Macaca fascicularis: one gene and its partner. The protein of the gene in region 1 interacts with the protein of each later gene in a pairwise test. Links are inferred from orthologs where the notes say so. Each region holds a gene or a part of one and is shown on either strand. Other genes may lie near its edges. The genes, in order: MPPED2 and CAGE1.

Evidence for each region.
Region 2: the proteins of MPPED2 (region 1) and CAGE1 interact in binary tests that used the Homo sapiens proteins (3 or more experiments, as listed by UniProt). The two-hybrid records come from large-scale screens. The link is inferred for Macaca fascicularis from reciprocal best matches to the Homo sapiens genes MPPED2 and CAGE1.

Annotation. Positions count from the first base shown.
Region 1 is NC_088388.1:34,963,678-34,968,257, reverse strand, and holds the start of MPPED2 (metallophosphoesterase MPPED2), read right to left. Parts: upstream 2,890-4,580; 5' UTR 2,548-2,889; intron 2,499-2,547; exon of another isoform or gene 2,434-2,498; intron 1,460-2,433; exon of another isoform or gene 354-1,459; intron 1-353. UniProt on the Homo sapiens protein: Displays low metallophosphoesterase activity (in vitro). May play a role in the development of the nervous system.
Region 2 is NC_088378.1:165,630,992-165,634,797, forward strand, and holds part of CAGE1 (cancer-associated gene 1 protein homolog), read left to right. Parts: intron 1-2,526; coding exon 2,527-3,585; intron 3,586-3,806.

The DNA of each region.
Region 1 (4,580 bases):
AGAAAATCATGTGAGTACATTTTGCATTTCCTAGACAGCAATCGCTTCTGTCCTTTAAGCTGTACAACTAGCAATATTCTTTTCCAGGAATCTAGTTGGAAAACCTTTTAAAGTCGCCTGGCAATAAAGGGATTAAAAGCTGAGGAATTAAATAACTGTCTCCACCTCCTAGACACCAGAAGTCCAATTTACCAAAACTTTCAAAGCAACAACTCATGACCTCTCTACCCCTGCACTGCCCAGCACAGCCTATGAGAAAAGAGCCCGCGGTTTTCTCGTTTCAACAGGAATGCTCATTTTAATCACTTGCCCCAAAATCTCCCGACCGAGCCTGGCGGGACTTTGGAACTTGCCTGCTCCAAATCCGCCAAATTTCGCTCTCTCCTCCCTCTGCCGCGCCGATCCAGTGCGTTCTTAACTCACGCCCCTACTCTTTTATGCCCACTTCCAGTTACTCATCCCTGTATCTGGGAGCGATGCCCACACGCCTTCCCGGCGGGCTTCTCCGCCAGGGTTTTTTTGGGGGATGCTGACATAAAGTTCCACGTGCTTCTGTCCACCGAGCGCCCTCCCTCCCACCGCACTTACACCTGAACTTGTCTCCAGCACTGCGGACACCCGGGTGACACATTCTTTCGGAGAGGGAGGGCAAGACTTTTCTACGGAGCCTCTGGCAACTCGTGGAGTCTATATAAGGTGGGGCGGTGGGGGGCGCGGAATTCTCTACTTTGGATTGGTTTGTTTGTTTTAAATCTAGGGTGGTGGGCAGTTGCGCGGAGCGGGGTGGGGGGGGAGGCTTTATCAGCACACACACACACACACACACACACACACACACATACACACACACACACACACACACACACACACACACACACACACACTCGCCCTGCCCTTCTAGGCTCACGGCTGGCTCTTCCCGGCTACAACTTCCCCTTCCTTCCTGGAGCACCAGCGCCTTACTCGCTCAGTCCCCCGTTGCCACCTCCGTTGCCTCCGCGGCCGCCGCTCCTGCTGGCACTGCTGGCGCTAGCGCTCGCGGCCCCGGGCTCCGCTGGACGCCTATCTTTTTTCTCTCCCTCTTCCCTAGCTCTGGGTTGATTGATGACCACCGGCGGCCAATGGCTCTGACACCACGCCATCCTCGGTCGGGCATCACAGCCCCACGTCCCCGACGTCAGCCTCCCGGGCGCGTTGGCATCCCCGAACCCACAGCGCGGAGCCCGAGCCCGGGGCCGCCGCCTCCTCCCTGCTCTGCGCCTGGGCGCTGCCAGGTTCCTTCCCCGGAACGGCTGAGAAAGGAAGGGAGGGAGCCAGAGAGCGTTGGAAGGGGGTGTGGAGGCCATGGGATCTCCCCCTCTTTTGAAATCTTTTTTCACTTAAACTTTTGCTTGTTCCCCCCCCCCCCGACCTGTTTGTGTTTGTTTGCAACATCTCAAATCAATTATACATTTTTCACGACTCGCATTTGCACTTAATTTGGGGTGTGTGTGTGAGAGGGGGGTAGTGATGTACTATTATAAATCAACTCCACTGGGGCATCCTTAATTTATTTTCTTGCTGACGGATTCCAACCCGCTCCTGAGCCTCTAGAAAAATGCCCCCTTCACCTCCTAGGCCGCAAAACCCCGTAATTCAAAGGCTTTACAAAGATAACCTTGTTACACGTAAATAGCAAGGAAACTCTTGCCTCTGTAGAGAAGAAATCCGGCGGCAACGGTTACTTTTCCTGGCTACTCGTCCCCCGTCGCCTAGCCCCGACCCCAGCTCGAGTCGCCGGGTCGCTCCGCAGGCTGCGAGCGCGGAGACCCAGGCAGCGGCGGAGAGTGAGGTTGGGGCGCGGGGACTGGGTGAGAAAGAGCCCCAAGCGAGAGCGGCGCGCGCGGGCGGCCCCAGGGGCGGCCGCGGGGTGCAGCCCGAGCACAAAGCTGCGCGGCGCCTTCCCCTAGTCACTGCACCTGGCCTCGGGCCGCCGCGGGAGACCAAGGATCGGGCCAACACAATGCACCCGGGCCTAGGCCGGGGCGGCTCGAACACATCACCCCGGGACTTTCTAGTAAACAGCTCGCTGAGCCCTCGTCCCCACCCCCATCTCCGTCGCCCGGCTTTCGCCGCAGCTTCTCGCCGATACCCCCTCCTTTCCTCCTCAGAAATCCCGGCGGAGGAGGGGGCAAAGAGGTGGGGACCCCCAGAGGTCGGGGGGCTGATGGCTGGAGGGGGTGGGGGAGAAGAGAAGAGGCGCAGGATGGGGAGTGGGAGGGAAGACAGCTCCTAAAAAAGAATTTGCTTTCGCTCAGGGGTTGAAAATCAGCCCTCCCCGGGCGCCGAATTGCCCGGGAGGCGCCCGCTCGTGCGGATGTCAGGGGCACCGGGGCAGCCCGGGTCCGCAGCCTCCGATCCCCTCGCACGCGCCTCTGACAAGGCACCTCTCACCCGGGCTCCGCTTTGTGTGTGCATTTTTTTCCCTTCCTCTCGCGCTCGGCACCAGGCTCCCGGCCGCCTCCTCCCCCTCCCCCGCCCTCCGCCTCCCTTCCCGGGGCGGATTACCTTTCCCGGGCTGCGCTCCGGGTCCCGGGGATGCCTTCAGCGCCCGGCGAGCAGGCAATCCATAGCTGAGCGGCCCGAGCTGGCTGGAGGAGCGCTGGGGGCGCGCGGGGGCGGCGAGGGGCGCGGGCGGGCCAGAACCTTCGACCCCGGAGGTCCCGCCGCAGGCTGGGGCTGGGGGCCAGGGGGCGCGGCGCTAGAGGGAGGCGGGGGGAGAAAGGACCCGAGCAGCCTCGATCTGGGGAGAGAGCGAGCGAGGGGGCGAGGAGAGGGAGCGAGGGCGCGGCGAGCCGGAGGGAGCGCGAGCGGTGCAGTGACAGGGACTGCCACTGGGGTCAAAGGAGCACAGCTCCAGGAAGCAGGGCGGCTGAGGCGCCGCTCCGTGCGCGCTCCCCGGCGGGACCCCGCGCCCCTGCACGCCTCTCCTGCAGTCCCTGCCCACTCGGACCCCCACCGGTGCCCCGAAGCCCCAGGGTTTCGAGAGGAGGAGGGAGCCGAGGGCGAGGCCCGGCAGCCTGCTGGTGCTCCCGGGTCAAGCAGGCGGCAGGAAGCTGAGCTGCAAGTTCATCATCATGAGTGTGATCTGCGTAAAAAATGATAGGGGAAGGAAGGCAGGCTACGGTGCCCCAGGAAAATAAGGGATCTTTCTCCCAAATGGTGTTCTTCTGCAAAGAGAACACCCAGCTCCCCCCACCCACCGACCTGCCAGGCTCTGTCAGGAGTCCTGGCACCGTTCCAGGACGCAGGGCTCACCGTGGGGGTAAGGGGAGCGGCTGGGACACTTCACTCAGACCTAGGAAGGCGACCTTAGGTTCCCTCCCATCTGCTGATCTGAGGCTTTCCTGGGGGAGAGCTGTGCTCCTTTTCCCCCAAGCCTTTCAACACGCCAGACACACACACACACACTCACACACTCACCTCTTTCTCTCTGCAATGTTGCTGAGAAAGAAAAGGCCAACCCAGCTGATCATTTTTTTCACCTCCAAGAATTAAGGCAGGTTCAGGACAGGAAGGTGAGGAGAGGCAAAGACTCTAATTGTTTCCATTTTCGTCTTTTGGATCAAATTTTCCCCAAAAGATAAGCACGTCAAAAGCCTTTTAAAAATCAAAGTTAGTCCAGTTTTGTCTGCTACTTTGGAAAATGGAAGAAAAGGTTTTCGGAATTGTATACAAACACCACAAGGAAAGGAAATACCGCTGAAATGCTGGAAGACAGAAAACAAGGGAGAGAGGGCTTTCAGAAAACTTGGTTGGCAGGGTTGTCTGTGAAAGATGAGGTGGCCCTGTGATGTTATGCCATTGTCATTGCTGAAAGATTGGGACAGCAACCAGATCTAATTCCTTTCTAGGAGTCAGACTGAAAGAGCTGAGCATTCTCCGAAGGGAAATCCAATGTATATGTGTGAGAGAGAGAAGTGTGCAAAGTATACTATGTGACAATCGACTAGACATCCTAGCTGAAATTATATCCCCTAAAAATAAAAAGGAGCCATTGCAACCTGGTCTGTGGCCTCTGTGCTGAGACTAATTGGTTTCCAGGGTCTGGGGAGGAAGGGAGAGAGGCTTGTAGGAGCCCCTATAAAAAAAAGATCAAACGGAATTCACTTGAAAATATTTCCTTTACAATGGGCTTTCCTGGCACTTGAATTTTAAGTAACCCATCTCTTATGCCTAGGATGAAATGAAAAGGGAAATGGTCTTACTAATGTATTTATTTTATTGTACAGCATGCCCAGAGTGTCAGTACTTGTCAAACGTGCCCGGGTGGAAAGGACAGTGTCTTTCCTTGCCCAGCACAAATCAGAACAAGTGACATTGATATTAAAGGATGCCAAAGATGGGGGTATAGGGGCACCCTTACATTTTGTTTTCTTTTGTTTTCTAGTCCATCAGCGAACACTGACTAGAATCACGTTTTTGAAGGAATGCTTGGTTTTGTTTCCCTTACTCTGTGGCTTGAGTAGTACATTCCTCATATCTTAACAGTTTGAATTTTTAGACTGATTTGGGCTGATTTAATCAGTTCAAAAAAGAAA
Region 2 (3,806 bases), on another chromosome or scaffold:
AGGAAGATCAGAGTTGGAGGAAGGAGGAGGGGTATAGCAGATGAAGACAGGTGGTACGGGCCAGCTACTGCTTTAGTTCATTTCATACGGCTGCAACTATATCACAGACTGGGCAATTTATAATGAATAGAAATGTATCTGGCTCACGGTTCTGGAGGCTAGGTCCATGGTGCCAACATCACACAAGGGTCTCTGTGCTGTCATTTCATGATGGGAGGTGGAGGGGCAAAAGAGGGTGAGATCAAGGGAGCAAGTGGAGGCTGAACTCACTTTTATTTATTTATTTATTTATTTATTTATTTATTTTGAGATGGATTCTCGCTCTGTCACCCAGGGTGCAGTGCAGTGGCACCATCTTGGCTCACTGCCACCTCCGCCTCCTGGGTTCAAGCGATTCTCCTGCTTCACCCTTCTGAATAGCTGGGATTGCAGGCATGTGCCACCACGCCCAGCTAATTTTTTGTATTTTTAGTAGAGATGGCATTTCACAGTGTTAGCCAGGATGGTCTCAATCTCCTGACTTTGTGATCCACCCGCCTCGGCCTCCCAAAGTGCTGAGATTACAGGTGTGAGCCACCGCACAGCCCCCAACTCACTTTTGTAACAAATCCACTTGTGATAACTAACACACTCCTGCGATAACAACATTTAGTCATTTTTATTCACCTCTTACTAGGCCCCATCTTCCAACACTGTTGCATTGGGGATTAAGCTTCTGGCACATGAACTTTAGGGAATGCATTTAAACCATAGTAGATATCAAGAGCAAGATATTAGGGCCTTGTAGGTCTCAGTAATGATAGTTATCTTTATCCCAGAACAATGAAAAACCATTAAGATGCAAGGTTCTGCAGAAGGATGAGCTCAAAAAACAAAATACAGAAGTCCTTGTCTCTAAATTCCAGAGAATTATACAGCGCACCACTCCCTTTTACTGGGTTTTTATTTATTTATTTTTTACATACGAGGTCTTGCTCTGTTACTCAGATTGGAGAGCAGTGTGACCATGGCCCACAAGAAATCCTCCTGCCTCAGCTTCTGAAGGAGCTAGGACTACAGGCACGTGCCCCCACACCTGACTGATTTTTAAAATATTTTTTTGGAGAGATAGGGTCTCACTATGTTACCCAGGCTGGTCTCGAACTCCTGATCTCAAGGAATCCTCTCACCTTGGGCTCCCAAAGTGTTAGGATTACAGGTATGAGCCACTGTGCCTGGCCTGGGGTTTGCTTTTTGTTTGTTTGTTGTTTTTTGAGATGGAGTCTCGCTCTGTTGCCCAGGCTGGAGTGCAGTGGCATGATCTCGGCTCACAGCAGCCTCTGCCTCCAGGGTTCAAGCAATTCTCCTGCCTCAGCCTCCTGAGTAGCTGGCACTACAGGTGTGCACCGCCACAGCCGGCTAATTTTTGTATTTTTAGTAGAGATGGTGTTTCACCATGTTGGCCAGGATGGTCTTGATCTCCTGACCTCATGATCTGCCCACCTCAACCTCCCAAAGTGCTGGGATTACAAGCATGAGCCACTGCACCTGGCCCTGGGTTTTTAATGTCATATTCATTTCACCATTTCTTACCACAATGTACTGTCTTTTTTATTTTTGTTTATTTTATTATTACTATTTTTTGAGACAGAGTCTCGCTCTGTCGCCCGGGCTAGAGTGCAGTGGTGCAATCTCAGCTCACTGCAACTTCCGCCTCCTATGTTCAAGTGATTCTTCTGCCTCACTCAGCTTCCTGAGTAGCTGGGATTACAGGCATGTGCCACCACGCTTGGCTAATTTTTGTATTTTGGGCAGAGATGGGTTTTACCACGTTGGCCAGGCTGGTCTCAAACTCCTGACCACAAGTGATCTACCCACCTCGGCCTCCCAAAGTGCTGGGATTACAGGCATGAGCTACCTTGCCCGGCCTACTGTCCTTTTGTAACCTCCCCAAAACCTGTACTGTCAGCATAAAGTCAATCATGAGGCATGTTCTTCTGCCATTCTAATGTTCCTAAGAGTCACAGAATAATTAGAAAACAGTCTAAATGTGGAAAAAAAATATTCAAAAGAGAAGAGACCTTCCCTAAAAATCCAAACTTTTGGCCCAATAATAAAATGTAAAAAAAAAAAAAAAAGAGAGAGAGAACTTGCAGTCTATAAGGTAATTGATAGATTTATTTGTCTGAATTCATTTGAAGTCAAAGCATCTTATATGTGTGCAGGGAAGTTTGCATAATAGAAAATGGTAAGAGGACAAAAGTTTAATTTTCCTTTTGTCAAAGTAAATGGGATATATATCTGTCATATACCTACTGCCTGTGCTCTGCTGTGCTGTTAGGTGCTGTACAAACATTTAGCAATTAATACATAGGTATTAACTTTTGTTAATAGGCATTATTACTGGAAGTAGGTACTATCGTTACTTTATAGTGGAGGAAACCAAACAGGGGATCTACTAACAGAATTCAAGGCCAGCCCTATCTGACTTGAAAGTTCATGATCTTTCTACGCATTCACATTTACTTTGTTTATTATAATTTACAGACTGCAGTTCCTTCGAAAGAAATGCAGAATCATGGGGAGATTCCTGAGATGTCAGTCAGTTATGCAAAGGAAGTCACAGCAGAGGGTGTGGAGAGGCCAGAAATTGTCTCAACTTGGTCTTCGGCAGGCATCTCCTGGAGGAGTAAAGCATCTCAGGAGAACTGTGAGATGCCTGACATGGAGCAAAGTGCTGAAAGCTTACAACCTGTTCAAGAGGACATGGCTTTAAATGAAATCTTGAAGAAATTAAAACATACTAACAGAAAGCAGGAGGCGCGAATCCAAGAACTCCAGTGTAGTAACCTGTATTTAGAGAAGAGAGTTAAAGAACTACAGATGAAGACTACCAAACAGCAAGTGTTCATTGATGTCATCGATAAGCTAAAGGAGAATGTTGAAGAATTAATTGAAGAAAAATACAAAATAATCCTAGAGAAAAATGATGCTAAAAAGACACTGCAGAATTTGCAAGAGATTTTAGCTAACACCCAAAAACATCTTCAGGAATCCAGGAATGACAAGGAAATGTTACAGCTTCAATTTAAGAAGATCAAGGCTAATTATGTGCGTTTACAGGAAAGGTACATGACTGAAATGCAACAAAAAAATAAATCTGTAAGTCAGTATTTAGAGATGGACAAAACCTTAAGCAAGAAAGAGGAAGAGGTAAAGAGACTACAACAACTCAGAAAAGAGCAGGAAAAGGTCACAGCTTCTGCTCTGGACTTGTTGAAACGGGAAAAAGAGACCCAAGAGCAAGAGTTCTTGTCTTTACAGGAGGAATTCCAGAAACGTGACAAGGCAAACCTGGAAGAAAGACAGAAACTGAAATCTCGACTTGAGAAATTGCTCACTCAGGTTAAAAATTTGCAATTTATGTCTGAAAATGAAAGAGCTAAGAATATAAAACTTCAGCAGCAAATCAACGAAGTAAAAAATGAGAATAAAAAACTAAAACAGCACGTTGCAAGGAGTGAAGAGCAAAATTATGTCCCTAAATCTGAGACAGCTCAGTTAAAGGAGCAATTAGAGGAAGTCATGAAGTCAGATATTACCAAGGTATTGATACACATTCTAAATCTCTAATGCGGATTTTCAAGAGTTTCTAGTGGTCTGGTGATGCATATTTAGATGTGGCACTTATATTTGTTTGCAGAAATAATTATTAAGGAAAGAAACAGATCTCGGCACTTTGGGAGGCTGAAGCAGGAGGATCTCTTGAGGCTTGGAGTTTGACACCAGCTTAGGCAACATAGTGAGACCCCATCTCTACAAAACAT